Danio rerio: one gene and its partners. The protein of the gene in region 2 interacts with the protein of the main gene of each other region in a pairwise test. Links are inferred from orthologs where the notes say so. Each region holds a gene or a part of one and is shown on either strand. Other genes may lie near its edges.

The links.
Region 1: the proteins of rnf5 (region 2) and slc38a7 interact in binary tests that used the Homo sapiens proteins (3 or more experiments, as listed by UniProt). The two-hybrid records come from large-scale screens. The link is inferred for Danio rerio from reciprocal best matches to the Homo sapiens genes RNF5 and SLC38A7.
Region 3: the proteins of rnf5 (region 2) and insig2 interact in binary tests that used the Homo sapiens proteins (3 or more experiments, as listed by UniProt). The two-hybrid records come from large-scale screens. The link is inferred for Danio rerio from reciprocal best matches to the Homo sapiens genes RNF5 and INSIG2.
Region 4: the proteins of rnf5 (region 2) and ube2kb interact in binary tests that used the Homo sapiens proteins (3 or more experiments, as listed by UniProt). The link is inferred for Danio rerio from reciprocal best matches to the Homo sapiens genes RNF5 and UBE2K.

The regions. Positions count from the first base shown.
Region 1 is NC_133182.1:53,639,242-53,643,848, forward strand, and holds the start of slc38a7 (sodium-coupled neutral amino acid transporter 7), read left to right. Parts: upstream 1-1,608; 5' UTR 1,609-1,679; exon of another isoform or gene 1,680-1,800; intron 1,801-3,532; exon of another isoform or gene 3,533-3,762; intron 3,763-4,607. UniProt on the Homo sapiens protein: Symporter that selectively cotransports sodium ions and amino acids, such as L-glutamine and L-asparagine from the lysosome into the cytoplasm and may participates in mTORC1 activation. The transport activity requires an acidic lysosomal lumen.
Region 2 is NC_133194.1:1,199,046-1,202,331, reverse strand, and holds the end of rnf5 (E3 ubiquitin-protein ligase RNF5), read right to left. Parts: intron 2,919-3,286; coding exon 2,864-2,918; intron 2,779-2,863; coding exon 2,667-2,778; intron 1,263-2,666; coding exon 1,144-1,262; 3' UTR 945-1,143; downstream 1-944. UniProt on the Homo sapiens protein: Membrane-bound E3 ubiquitin-protein ligase that mediates ubiquitination of target proteins. May function together with E2 ubiquitin-conjugating enzymes UBE2D1/UBCH5A and UBE2D2/UBC4.
Region 3 is NC_133184.1:734,804-737,996, reverse strand, and holds the end of insig2 (insulin-induced gene 2 protein), read right to left. Parts: intron 1,804-3,193; coding exon 1,704-1,803; intron 1,278-1,703; coding exon 1,236-1,277; 3' UTR 962-1,235; downstream 1-961. UniProt on the Homo sapiens protein: Oxysterol-binding protein that mediates feedback control of cholesterol synthesis by controlling both endoplasmic reticulum to Golgi transport of SCAP and degradation of HMGCR.
Region 4 is NC_133176.1:24,896,053-24,900,692, forward strand, and holds the start of ube2kb (ubiquitin-conjugating enzyme E2Kb (UBC1 homolog, yeast)), read left to right. Parts: upstream 1-1,539; 5' UTR 1,540-1,992; coding exon 1,993-2,055; intron 2,056-2,707; coding exon 2,708-2,801; intron 2,802-2,897; coding exon 2,898-2,956; intron 2,957-4,640. UniProt on the Homo sapiens protein: Accepts ubiquitin from the E1 complex and catalyzes its covalent attachment to other proteins. In vitro, in the presence or in the absence of BRCA1-BARD1 E3 ubiquitin-protein ligase complex, catalyzes the synthesis of 'Lys-48'-linked polyubiquitin chains.

The DNA of each region.
Region 1 (4,607 bases), on a different chromosome or scaffold from region 2:
CTGACCTATAGCACATGTGTTTGGACTGGGGGAAACTGGAGCACCCAGAGGAAACCCACACGAACACGAAAACAGTGACTTGTCGCCCTCTTTATTTACTGTACAATTGAAATCAAAATTATTAGCCTTCCTTTCCTGTGAATTTTTTTCCCCAAAATATTTCCCAAATGATGTTTTAACAGATTCAGAATTTCCTATAATATTTTTTTCTTCTGGAGAAAGTCTGTTTTTTTTCAGCTAGAATAAAAGCAGTTTTTAATTTTTATTTTATTTTTATTTTTTTATTTGAACCATTTTAAGCTTAATTTAAGCTGAAAAAGCACTTTAACTGAATAATAGTATCTTGATAAATATATCTATTTACAATTATGTACTGCCCCATAAAATATAACTAATAAATAATTCTGCCTTCGACTGTAAATCAGACCAGTATCAAAGTATAACATGTTGATGTTATCTCTTAGATAATTGAAAAAAGCTTTTAAGAAACTATGTCTATTGAAAAGAATTTAAATTTAAGATGTATTTGTATTATTTTAGAAACAACAACAAGTCCATAAATATAGTAAAACCCCTTTTTCAAACCAACACATGATCATTATTGTATGCATTATAAGAATCAAAAACACATTGTGTACAAAATGGTGTCCAGAAACTAGATAATTTTATTTAAATGTAGGTTTTCTGTCCAAATATTATTTATAAGACATTTTTTCTTTAAAAATTATATCAGGAAAACTATTTACATTTAAGATGCACTTACTGTATAAAGAAATTAGTTTACAGTAACTCACTCCACAAAGCTGGAAAATTATCCTCAGCAGTACAGAGGATGCAATATGTATACCTTTATTATAACATTTTCATAAACAGTTTTAATATCTGAACTTACTTAATCTTCTTTCTTTCTTTCTTTCTTTCTTTCTTTCTTTCTTTCTTTCTTTCTTTCTTTCTTTCTTTCTTTCTTTCAGTTTACAAATAGTAACCAAAATAGGTAAATGCATGCACATTGAAAAATGGGTAGGTGTGACAATTTGTAATTAAACCATATTTAATAATTAAATTTAATAATTAAACCAGATTAAACGTTTCACACACAACTCTGATGCACTTACTATACTTTCCCCCCTTAAACAACAAATGTTTATTTTCCCTAGTTTTTGCCCATTCCTGTGTCTGAAGGTGATCTGTGCCTACTGTATGATTGGATAAAGATTTATTGGTTTTATTTATTGTAAATTTTTATTTTACAGAAAGATATCCATTTCAATCCAAAACAGTCAGCCATAAATGCAGTTTTACAATAAAAGGACAAATTTAGTGTTTGCAGTTTTGGTCCTCCATAAGAAGACATGGATTAATATTTACTTTTTATACAATGTTTTCCAACATCAATATTTCCATCTAACGCACTAAAATGTTGATTGCCAAAGAGTTTTAGAAAGAATGCAGTTTAATATATAATCTTTTGGTAAAATGAATAACGTTACTATTTAGAATCTACTACATTACCCATAAGCTCTAAATCTGTCATGTGACAATGTCACGTGACGTCCAGGTACGCAGTGTCAGCAGCTAATATAGAAACGCCGAACAAGAAGCAACAGCATCGCTGTCACATCTGCATCTCTGTTCTTCGCTCAAACGCAATCTTATGTAGACCTATGCTCTTCATCACGGTACGGAATCAGCCAAGCATGAACGCATGAGGTGGTTTACACCATCTGCTGCTTTACCACACCTCGCTTGTACCTGGAGAGTTTGTTAGCTAAACAAAACCGCTGTTGTTATGCGAGTCACGTGAGTTGTTTTATCTTATAACTTATTCCTTTCTGATTTGTTTTATTTTTGCTTAAAGCACTGAACGTAGAGCTTGATGCAAATTACTTTTAAGTGAAATAAGTCGTGACTAATGACCTAATTGGGTTGGCCTGATGTCTTGATTAACTCAGCGTGAGCATTGTCATAATCTGTATTAGTGTAGTCTTTCTCTTATGTCAGACAGCATAACTGCTATTCTCTTTACTTAAGAGATGTCATGAAGTAACTGATAATGAATAGGCTGCTAATTATCTTTTGGTCAGACTCAGACAGTGCTGTAATCTTTTTCTTGCTGACTGCACGTTTCGTTTCCTCATCGCATGCTTGAGATTTCTGCTTACTGATGATCAGCTGAGAAATACAATGATGTCCCGTGACTCTCAGACTTGTCCTAAAGTCCAAACCACACTGTCAGTCGAGGTTGCTGATCACCTGTTTTTGTCAATTCGTGAAAGCTGTTATGTGCCCTGGTGATTTTTCACTAATGTCCAGAAGACTTTTGATATGCTTTGATGACACTATGATTTGGTGTACTGGGTGAAACCGTGATTATCTTTGGTTATGATGTTTGTCATTTTATCATTCATCATTCATTCATTAAAGAATACACTAAATATCTTATAATGACCTTAAAGGTTTGGTTCACCCAAAGATGAAAATCTGTTATTAGTTTCTCTGTTATTAATTACTCAAGTTGTTCCAGTCCCTTGAGACTTCCTTTTATCTTCGGAACACAGATGATGTCTCACGAACATTGCTGTCTATGGAGGATGAACAAAGGACAAAACAAGATATCACAATGTTACTAAGTGTTGCTGAATTGGTCCGGTAAAACAGGAACTTTTTAGGTGGCAATTCAAGGATCAGAACACCTCACTTTAATGACTTTCAATGTTCTAGAATATTTGTCACACAGATTTAATAAAAACAAAAGCATACATGTTAAAACTGTTAAACTGATTAAAGTGAGTTGATCAGAATGAAAGCAAAGCAATTACCTATAATTGTATTAGTCAATGCATAAATTATTCATTAGTCTTTGTTTTCAATTATGTAAATTTGTGCCAGCTTTTGCTGTACTAACATTGGATTGAAAGATCAGAGAAAGCCAATCCCCAGTCCACAGATGCTCTTTCATAAGAGAAGTGGTCAGATGTGGACAAAATAAACCAATTAAACCCCAGGTGTGAACAGTAATGTCTCTCCTTTGTCCACTTGTGATTAGATTGACAAAAACACATCTTCATATTAGGCATGGGCCAATATAACATTCTGATGGTATGATAACCTTCACTGTAAACGATTTCTTGTTAAATCAACAGTAAGTTACTGGCAACAATTATCCAGTAGCTGCTGTATTTCATAAAACGGTAACATTACTGTAATACTAATTACATTAGTATTACATTTACTGTAAAATGTAATACATCATTTTACTGTTGTTGATTTTTACTGTAACACCAATTACAGTAGTGATACACATACTGCAAAACTGAAAACAGTATTTTATTGTACATTTTTACCATGAAGAACTACGGTATTTTAACGTTACTTTCATTATTACTGTATAGTATTTTAGTTATTAAATGTTATTTTATTTTTTTTAATAGTGCTACTTTATAATGGGTAAAAATGTTTAAAAATTGCACAAGTGTTATTTTAACTGTTCAAGAAATACAAGAAAAATAAAGAAACTGAAACTTTAACTTCACAATAAAGGTTTATTGTGTAAACCATGCTAAAACAGTAGCAATAATTCAATATAACAAAGCAACAGAACACTAATAAACAATTGATCATTAAAACCAGTCAACAATTAATGCATCAAAAATTATTACAATTTTAAAAACAGGTGAAAATACTGCTACAAGACAGGAAATGATGAAGGCCAAATGATGTGGAAAGGGACAGTGAAAAAGGGCAGCAGCACTTCTGATGATCCTGCAAAAATGACAGGCAAAATCAATCACTGAAGTAAAAACTAATCATCCCTCAAACCATTTAATTCATTCAGAAACGAAACACTGCACTGTTGTTTTATATATATATATATATATATATATATATATATATATATATATATATATAAATATATATAACAGTTATAAATATATATAACAGTTTTTTTTATTGTTTTTGTTGGTGAAATACAGTTTTTTGTCAATTCACAATTACACTAACGTTAATGGGGAAAAGATCAGCGGGCATTGTTCTTAAAGATTGCTATTCAGGTGTCCACACAGGTGTGTAAAAAATAAAGTCTCATCTTAACTTAATGTCCGACTCTGTATAGCTCGAATATCTGATTCCATGATCACACTACTAGTGCTTCCACGAATTTAAGAGGGGTGAACACAGTTTATTCTCACTTTAAGAGGCTACATATTTAAAATTAAATAAATAAAAATAATCTAATTTAACGTGACTAATGTTAATTAAATACTTTTAGGCTTTTAACACGTATAAATCCACTTCTAACTTACAGATAAGATTGCGTTAGAGAACATGAAAGCCGTGGGTGATTTTTTAAAATAATGCTAATGATGAGTTACTGATATTTGGTTTGCATAAAACAAAGTAATCACTAAGCATTTATTTTTGGCAAAATCTGCAGAGAGGCTTAGCGACACGAGGAAATGTGTTAAAGTTGAGTAGAGAACTAAAGAGCAGTCTAGCCTACTTCATGAAATGTTTGTGGTAATATTCTGCGGTCAATTCGTATTACTGTATTTTAATATGCAGCAGTGATGGCATGTCAGCGAGACAAATAAACATTTTATCGAGTC
Region 2 (3,286 bases):
ATTATAATAACAAAAAAAAAACAAAAAAACTAATAGTTAAGGGGAACAAATAAAAATTGTTTCATTATAATAATAGCAAGAAGAAGAAGAGTTTAGGGCATAATATCATCTTTTTTTACATTACTATTGTAATTAGTATAATGCAGAAAAAAACACAATATCCCGTAAATTATAATAATTTTTCTTCTTCTATTATTATTTATAATAATTTATAATATTTATTAAAAAAATCATTTATAATAATTATAAAAATTTTATACAATATTATTATAATAATTTTTCTTCTTTTATTATTATTATTATTTATAATAATTTATAATATTTATAAAAATCATTTATAATAATTATAAACATTTTATACAATATTATTATAATAATTTTTCTTCTTTTATTATTATTATAATTATTATTATAATTATAAAAGAAGAAAATTTTATACAATATAAAGGATATCATAATAATGATTTAATAATAATAATAATAATATAGTAGTAGTAGTAAAGATGATATGCTAAATTTTACATAATAATAATATTAATAATAAAAGAAGAAAAATTATTATAATTTAGGGGGTATCATAACTGTTTTTACATAATAATAATAATAATAATAATAATAAAAAGAAGAAGAATTCATAATTATAATGTGGGTGATATCATAAAAATCCTTTCATAATAATAACAATATTAATAATAGAACAAAAACAAGGAGAATAATTTAGAGTATATCATGAAAAATAATTTCAAAATGAAAAAATAAACTTACATATTTGATCTAAAAGTATTAAACTATTAACATTTCTCGCATTAATTTTATGACAAAATATTTATATGAACTGGTTAATGTTTTACAAAAATCCTCAATAAAGCAACAAACGATTAGAAACAACCCAAAATGCAAATAAAGCGTGATCTACTCCAGTGAAAGTGAACTGAAGTCTGATTAGAGTGAAGAGAATGAGGAGATGAGCGTGTTTAATGATCATTATAGTAGAAATGAAGCCTTCTCGCGGGGTTACAGCTGAAACTCTGCATGTTTTGCTGAGATTCTTCAGCTGGTGTAGTGTTTGATCTATTCACGCTAATACTGTGCATGTGTGTGTGTGTGTGTGTGTGTGTGTGTGTGAGTGATACGTGTGTTCGTTCAGACGCTCAGGATCCAGAAGAAGAAGAAGATGGCGAGGAAGAGGAAGAGCGAGTCCTGCCAGTTGTTGCCGTTGTTTGCGTTTTCGTTGGCTTGCTGATCTGCTCCGTAATGAGCGTCTGAATCAAGATGAAAAATAATTCATATGTAAATGAGAGGTTATTCAATGAAACATCAGATCATTTGCATGCTTTTCTAACACACATTAATTAGAATGTTAGATGAAGTCAATTGGTTTTTAACTTAGTTATTTTATTTACTTTAATATTTACGTTATTAGAGAGAAGAGCTTTTACTAAGCGGATTTTAGGAATCCAAACTATCATTATTTTAATTTCTTTAATTTAATTTATGCTAGTTTAGCAGTAAAATTCAATTTTACAGAGAGGATTTTATTATTTTTAATCATTATTATTTTATTAATTACATTTACTTTTTCTTAATTTAGCATTCCTCATTTTAACTGAGAGGATTTTAGGAATCTAAAGTTTAATTTTAAGTTTAATATTTGTATTATTATAATCTTATTTATTATTTTATTTTATTTTTGTTAATTTAGCATTATTATTCATTTTTAGAGAGGATTTTATCAAACCAAACTTTTATCATTATAATTTTTTTTACTTTATTATTAGAAGTTTGTTTATAATTTTTTCAAATTATTTTAATCTAGCATTATTGTTTGATTTTACAGAGAGGATTTTAGGAATCCAAACTTATATTATTATTATTTTATTAATTATATTTATTTTCATTACTTTTTTTTTAATTTATTATTCTTTTAGGAATCCATGCTTTTATTATTTTTATCATTATAATTTTATTTATTATTTATTTTTGTTAATTTAGCATTATTATTCCTTTTTACCGAGAGGATTTTAGGAATCCAAACTTATATTATAATAATTTATTTTATTATTATAATTTTATTTATTATTTTATTTTAAATTATATATATATATATTTTGGTTAATTTGGCATTAATTACACGCTATTGCGTTTTTTATTTATTCATTTTTACAGAGAGAATTTTAGGAATCCAAACTTTCATTCTTATAATTTTATTTTAATATTATAATTTTATTTTTGTTTGATTAATTTAGAATTATTTACATGCCGTAGCAGTTTTTATTTTTATTTATGATGAGTATATTTTTAGTTTTTTTTTACAGAGAGAATTTAAGGAATTCTGAAAATATTGTGGCCAAATAAATAAATAAATAAATAAACAAATAAATAAATAAATAAATATCTTTCATCACATCTTATTTCAGAAAATACTGTGACCAAACCTTTATTATTATGGGTTACTGTAGCATTATTTATATGCTATTTCAGTTTTATTTACATTTGTAATGTGTATTTGTCTTTTTTATTTTTTTTTATTTTTAGTTTTTACAGAGAGAATTTAAGGAACTCCAAAAAGCATTGTGGCCAAACATTAATGATGATCTTATACTTTATTATTTTAGATCAGACTGTAAAGCTTGATAGTGGACATTAACATGAAGACGAGCTCTGACCTGCTCTGTGGAAAGGGTTGTTGGTGTTAAAGACTGTGGTGAAAAAACCAAAAGGAAAAGCACCGATCCCGAAAGACATGTGAAAGCCTGTGTCTCCAAAACCCTGAAACGGCTGCACACACACACATCAGGAGAATATTAATACAGTTATAATCATCACACTGACATTAATGAGAGAGTAACGAGATCACACTCACTCCTCTGCTCTCCGGCTCTGACCTTTGACCTTGAGGTCGAGGGGGCGTTTTCAATCTGCAACACACACACACACACACACACACACACACAGACAGACAGACAGACAGACAGACACACACAGACAGACAGACAGAAAAGATGTTTAACATCATATTCAAATGAACACACCGTATTTTACTGCATCTGTTGCATTAACATCAAACATGCGGTTTTATGACAAACACACATGTGAAAACAACGAATATTAAATAAATAAATAAATACTAATTATGTCATTTTGCAATCTAATATAAAAGGTTGATCTTATGATTATTACAGTGAAATATGACTGGATGTTTTCTAGTTATTAGGATGTAGCATATGTGGGTGAACAGGAATGCATTAAAAATGTGTGTACAGTGTGTATAGCGTGTGTGTGATGT
Region 3 (3,193 bases), on a different chromosome or scaffold from region 2:
GATGAAGACGACGCCCTGCTATAATACTCCATGCGTTAAAGGGTCAGTTCACACTAAATTAAAACACCGTCATTAATTCCCTCATGCTGTTTCAGTCGCTCCGTTCATCTTCAGACACAAACAAAGCTATTTTAGATGAAATCCTGGAGCTCTCGTCCTCCATAAACAGCAAGAGAACAGACCAAAAACATCCTCAGAACAGAGCACGTGTCTACAGTGGTTCAATCTGAGTTTCATCAAGCCATACTGATACTTGAGTGTGCTCATGAAACAAAAATAACACTCAGTTTCTTCTCCTCTTCTCCTTTTTCTAGTCCAAATATAGAAATATTTTAATTTATCCATTTATTTATGTCATATCAGCATCTTATTTTAGGGGTTTCTCACCTTTATTTGGAAAAGACAGTAGAGGTTGCAGACAGGAATGTATTGGGAGCAGAGAGAGGGGTAGGGCTGAGAGGAGTCTGGCTGCAGACCTGGTGCAGTGCAATCTGAGCTGCATCCAATGCTTTTTAATGAGCTCACCTAACCCCACCCCTAACCCCACCCCTAACAGTGATGTCACTTGCTCCACTTGAGTGCATTGTGTCTGACATTGCATCGCAGAGTGATGCAATCTCAGCTTGCATCATAAAGGCTGCATGCAGATACTATTAGTAGGGCTGGCTAAGGACCTCGAGCCGGGAATTGAACTCGGGTCGCCGTGAGCACCATGCTGCTATATGTGGGCTATCGGCACCGACACATCAGCATCATTTTATATATTTATGGCAATTCTAGTTCCAAGAACTCAATATATATATAAGCAGATTTCATCTAAAATATCCTCATGTGTGTCCTGAAGATGAACGAAGCTCTCAGGCGATTGAAATGACACTTGGATGATTAATTAACAAAGGTATTTTGATTTTTTGGGTGAACACACACACACACACACACACACACACACACACACACACACTTGAACATTCCCTGATGAATGAGATCCAGCAGTGTCTGTGTTTTCCTCCAGATGCGTCTCCTCCGCCCGTATGAGTGGAGATGACTGTGATGTGTGCGGATGAACAGGCTTCGCTCTCGGCCGTGAGAGTCTGTTTGGCACTTTTGCTGTGGTCAGTAGTGTTTCAGTGAGTGTGATGAAGATGATGATGATGATGATTACGGTCAGAGGAGGCAGGAGAAGCTTTATAAACACTGTCCATCCTCAAACACAGAACCCTCCAGAGGATCCTCCGTCAGTCCTGGTGGCTCTTTTCCTGACTCACTTTGTACTCGTACTGCAGGGAGAAACACCGTTTCAGAGGCAGCACACGGAGAAACGGCTCATGTTAGAACAGGTGCACCACAAAAAATGAGTTTCTTAGTTTGAAAGTATCTCAACATTTTTAAGTCGAGAAGCATTTTTGGACAAGTAAAAAATATCAAGCAAAATAACCTGACAATGCATCAAAATCATTGCTTAGGGAAATTGAGAAACTAAACTAGCCGTAGTGTATGTGTGAGTGAGTGTGTATGGGTGTTTCCCAGTGACGGATTGCAGCTGGAAGGGCATCCGCTGCCTGAAACATATGCTGCATAAGTTGCCGGTTCATTCTGCTGTGGCAGAAAATTAATGAATATCTCCTATAGTCCTTGTAAACCACTAACACCAATATGTGTATGTGTGTGTGTGTGTGTGTGTGTGTGTGTGTGTGATAGTTTACCAGAGCCAGCTGTCGTCCTATATTGCCCACAGTGATGACTCCTGCGAAGAAGATACACGGCAGCCAGGAGCGAATGTAGAGGAAATCAGGAGACGTGTATCTGCGCAAACACACATTAAACACTCGCTGATGTGTGTGTGTGTGTGTGTGTGTGTGTGTGTGTGTGTGAGAGGCTTGCGTTTAGGAGTAGTGTTGGGGGTGAGGAGGAAACATACAGTCTGTACAGTAGAAACATCATTACAGCTATGAGGAGACCATAAATACTGCACAAGTGTGTGTGTGTGTGTGCGTGCGTGTGTGTGTGTGTGTGTGCACATGTATGTAAGTTTTAGTGTGTGTCTGTGTGTGTAAGTTAAGTGTGTGTCAAGGAGTGTGTGAGTTTGCATGTGCATGAATCCAAAAGTCCAGTACAGTGCATCCAATAATACCACCCGCAGTCTTTTCTCCTTAGTGTATTTATGGAGCATGAGCGCCCTCAGCTGGACAGACGTGTGTTTTATTTATCCTCTCCAGCAGGGGGCACTAATGCACCAAAGAAATGCAACTCAAAAGAAGTGCTGCGGCCCAATTCACATACTTATACTACGCCCTAAAAGTATGTACTTTTTTTGTGAAGGAAAAGTTTATACTTTCGAGTGTGCAACAGACGAGTATGAGAGCTTTTGGACATACTACTACCTTGTAACAGATCGTTGTGTTGCTTGGTTATGAGCCCTATCAATCATCCACACACCATCCGCATTTCTGTCGTATTTAATTTCCCACCTTATTAAAGGAGCAGCAGCAGGTTAATCTCCCATTCACGAGCCTTTCATGCAGAAATCTCATCAGGGCTTTGGATAATTATGCATTCAGACGTTCAAACTCACCTTTATATACGTTCAGTATTGTTGTTGCAGATGAAATATAACACAGATAATGTGATTTCAATATGTTCCAGTGGACTAGATATTGACTAAGTCATTCAAACATCTTTACCGAAGCCTCTCTCTACTTGATGGTTGGTCTCGCGCGTCCATAATGTTTGTAGTTTGTTTACATTTTTTCACATGCGTTTGTAGTTCTAATCGAATTCGTGTGCAATGTATTGTGGGCAATATCAGCCATTAGAGTACGCTTCTATACTTAACTTTTTTACCAGAAATAGCAAACCATCCAGGAACCTCTGGCATTCTCTTTTGAACACTATGGTTTGGGACATACTAATTCTATTTTCAAATGCTATTTAGGACGGATAGTGTGTGGATCGGGACGCAGCAATGATGACAAATGCCTGAGGTTACATCAGAATGTTTATAAAGCTTTACATTTGGAGATTTTTCTATACAGAAATGCAGGGATTCCCTTAAAGTAGAGCATGTTTTATTATGGATAGATGCACTTTATTAGACTTCTTTTAAATTGCTTAGAGTGCTGCTGATGTAGAGCTGGAGCAGACCAACATCATTTTAACACAACTTCTATTGGATTCGACTGAAATAAGAACGTCA
Region 4 (4,640 bases), on a different chromosome or scaffold from region 2:
GTTCTCAAAAGGCAACATGGCAGCAGTTTATATGAGAAAGCAATTGAATGCTAATTAACCATATTTTAAAACTGTATTTGCTATATATTTAATTGTCTCCCTAATCTTATTCTGTGGCTTTAATATAGAAGGGCAGTTTCAGTCTTAATCTCACCCATTGACAAGATAACACAAATATAAATGCAAAGTACACAACTGTTAAAGATAATATAAAGGTCATCGATAGAGAAAATAACATCAAGTAAAAATCTGCAGTCAATTGGCATCTGAATTGATAGATGTATGAATAATGTGATGGCCAAATGTGGTCACACATACTTTGAAGTTGAATTACATTTTACCCATTCAAGGGAATACATAATCACCACAATGAGAAGTGAACACAAACACACACAGATACGAGATACAAACAACTGTCACACAAAGCTCCAAGAAGACTTTTGTGTACCAAACATCTGTCAGATTATGCCGCATGTTAAAACATTAACATGAAATGAAAAACATTTGTATGTTGATTGGGTTTCTGACTTTAAAGGCTGTAAATGTGTTGTGTTAGATGTCATGTAAAATATATTTTTTTTTTTCATTGTTTAGGTTTTTTTTCACATTTTTATTGGATAGTGGAAGTTGAGACAGGAATGTGTGGGGAGCAATCAGCAAAGAACATCAAGCTTAGACTGATTTAGGTCACCCCAAGCTCTTACTAGCTACTGACACTGAGCATATAAAATATCTCAATTTGTATTCCGAAGTTGAAGGTCCCAGGGAGTTGTAACAACACAAGGATGTTAAAGGTTAGTTCTACCAAAAATTCTGTTAGTAATTACTTATAACAGATTTTTTGGTAGAACTAACCCTTAAGGGCACCTCAGTCTCGGGTACTGAAAGTGGAAGAGAGCTCTGTTCATTCCCTGCCACACTGACAACTGGTATGCAACTTTTCAAGCATGGTTGATTTAACTTAATTTCAAATTGTTTATCAAATGAAAGGTGAAAAACGAAAAAAAGTTCTTATTAATAGATTTATATATATATATATATATATATATATATATATATATATATATATATATATATATATATATATATATATACACACACACACACACACACACACACACACACACACACACACACACACACACACATATATATATATATAGCATACAACACACCAAACAATTGTATTATTTTTAAACACTGTATTATTCACCATAGTGTAAACTTTTTATTTGTTAATTTTAATATATATGCTTTTTGCTGGCTGTATGTGGGCGGAGTAATACACAAAAGGTAAAGAGGCTGTACTGGTGCTGATATTACTTAAATATATCACGGCTATCAGCCAATCAGATTCGAGGACCTGACAGAACTGTTGTATATATATAAAAATAACTCAGATTTAGCATGGTATTATAATGGTGGTGAATACATATTGTATGCTACAAACGATTTATCTTCATGTTCCTGTTAGAATAATCAAAAAGGACCCATGTGATTTAATACTTGGTTTAAATAGTGTAGGCCTAAATTGTTTGCAAATTCAGTGAAAGGGGTGATGATGGACCGTATGCTCTGAACGCATCACGTGGGAGTAAAACAGATGCATCCGAGCTTTAGCAGCACGACATCATGTGACAGCACCACATCATATGGGAGTGAAACTAGATGTGAACGCATTCTGGATCTGTCAAGACTGAGCTCTGCTTTTCTGCTGCATAACACATCCACCTGATTCAACAAAGAAGGACAAACGCAGTGCTGTAGTGCAGTGTTTTAGTGTTCCAGGCTCTTATTTTGTTTACCGGTGCTTTTCTGGTGCTTTCCGTACTGTTTTAGGAGAGAGAGAGGGAGGGAGAGAGAGAGGGCGAAGGAGCGCAAGAGGGGTGTGAAAGTGAAGCTCTATCATTCTTTGCGGACTGGAGGCTCAAAAACAGCGGAAGAGAGAAGGAGAGAGAGAGAAAGAGTGAGAGAGAGAGGAATCAATCAGCCATGGCAAATATCGCTGTGCAGAGGATCAAGCGAGAGTTTAAAGAAGTGCTGAAAAGCGAAGAGGTTTGCAAAACGCTACTTTACTATATTTTCCTGCCCGTTAAGAACAAACAGAAGGACTTTTGGCGATGAACACACAAAACCCAATGAGCTAGCCTAGCATGCTAAGCTAATGTTAGCATGAGCTGTCATATGATGGACTTAAGATACGGAAGTCACACTTCTGACAAATTTGCTTCTCTCGATGTAATAAAACGAAAACATAGACCTAAATGTTTAATTCATTCATGAACATGTCAGAGTATTGTTAAATTTGTGCTGGCACACATCGAGCTTAAGCCATGGAGCTATTTGACATAGTTAGCCGGCTAGCTTCACCAACACTTCTATAGTCTGCAATAACAGCACTCGCACTCAGTGTTTTAAGGTTGGTTTTCTGTTTTGAAATGCCCATTAGTGGTTTACTGATCGTGTTCCTACGTTTTTGTGTGTGTTGGTGTCAGTTAACAGGGCAGCTAGGATGTTCTTTTTTTAAGTAATGCAGCACCTTTGACAGACAGCATTTTTGGGAATCATAGACTCATATCATACTGTCTTTTAAGGGTGCTTATTATGTTCAGAAGACAGCTTCATAACTTGACTATACCGGTTGTTTCTTTGTTCAAGCAACTATGGTACTCCTTACTAAATACATTTTTGTTTTGCTTTTTAACAGACGAGTAAAAATCAAATAAAAGTAGATCTGGTGGATGAAAACTTCACAGAGTTAAAGGGAGAAATAGCAGGACCGCCAGACACACCATATGAAGGTAATGAGAGCCTTTACATGATGTTTCTTTAATGTTTGCTTGGAGATTAATGCTGGAGATAAGATTATAACAGGCTAACGTTTTTTTTTCTCACAGGGGGAAGATATCAACTAGAAATCAAGATCCCTGAGACGTATCCATTTAATCCACCCAAGGTAATTCAACAAGTATTCTTTCTGCTGTTTTTACATATAATATTGCCAAAATATTTTACATAGACATACTATTAAGAAAAAGGAATGTTATTAATATAAAAATAAGTAGATAATAGTGTAACATGGAATTAAAATAACACGATGAATGAATGAAAGGGGATACAAATGTTATTTATCCAAAATAAATATAAAAATATATTTTTTTATTTTGCGATATATATATATATATATATATATATATATATATATATATATATATTGCAATATGAATACAATTTTATCAATGACTTAATAACTCAATTTTTAATCTTAGATCAACTGGAATGACTCTGCAGTGGGAGTGCATCTCTATAAAATCTAAAATTAATAAATAAATAAACAATTGTTGTGATCTTTGCTATTTGCAGTGCATTTCTGTATTTGCATATGTTGTGAGTATTTTCATACATGACAATCTGTAAATGCAGTCAAGACAAAGATGTTATTCAAATAAAGGGGTTTGTTGTTTCCCAGGTCTAACAGTATTTAAGTACAGTAACTGAATGATAAAAATAAAAACCATTCAATAAGGTCACAAATAGTTCAAGTTCTTATACCCAAATGCTTTTAAAAACATTAAACAATCACAGGCGTCAAAAACATATGCACATGATGAACTATAATACAAACTCATCATTGCCTATCATGCGATGTGACTATTGCAAATGATCACATTGCGAAATCGATGCTAAAGCGATATATTGTGCAGCCCTATTATGAAGTTAAAAGTTCCATAACATTTGCATCTGGATGATCTTTGTTTATATTCATTAAGGCAGTAGTGGGTTAGTAATGTTCAGTAATCGACTGTACTGCTGTAATTTAGTTGTCTGGATTTGATTAGCATGCAAAGCCTTTTAAAGACATCGGGTTAAAGAGTTTAAGTATTTCACTTAAGTTCAATATTGATTCACATTTAGAATTAAGAGAGAAAGCTAAAAGTAATACTTTGTGAACTAACCAAACTAGACATGAGAAGAAGGATCACATGAACAACTGTTAAAGTGTTCAAGTAAATCTCTCTTCTCTTTGTCTTTAAGTCTAGAGGGGTCATTGCTAGTTTGGAGGAAAAAAAATAAAATAAAAAAAAAAAAGATCCAGATTTTATATTATTGACATTGATTATTTTTTTCCTTTGCGCCAGGCTATGATTAGTCAGAGGATATCAGACATGTTTGAAATTTTAAACAGATTTTAGAACATATACATTATCATTTGTCTTCAAGTAATGATATGAATGTTTCGTCTGCTGTTTATTATGTTCCAAATAAAATGAAAGTTTATTAACGTGTAATTCTCAGTCGTTTGATCTGCAATGCCCCAACAATTGATTAATAAACCAGTAAGTAACAGTTAAAAAAAAAGTTGCAGCTGAACCTAATCTTGCACTTACTCTTGGTAACATTTAAATGCCTTCTTGTATTTGAATATAAATTGGCAATCACAAAGTACTTACACATTTCAATTTATTTCGATATGAAAGCAGATATCCAATGTGTGACTCCTGTTCTGTACATTTTTTTTAACTGCTGGGAAACCTTCTAGAAGATATTTAAATAGACAGAAATCTTTAGTCAAGGATGAGACACATTTTGAAGTCTGATTCAAATTACATGCAGTGTTTTTACATGCATAGAAAGCATAT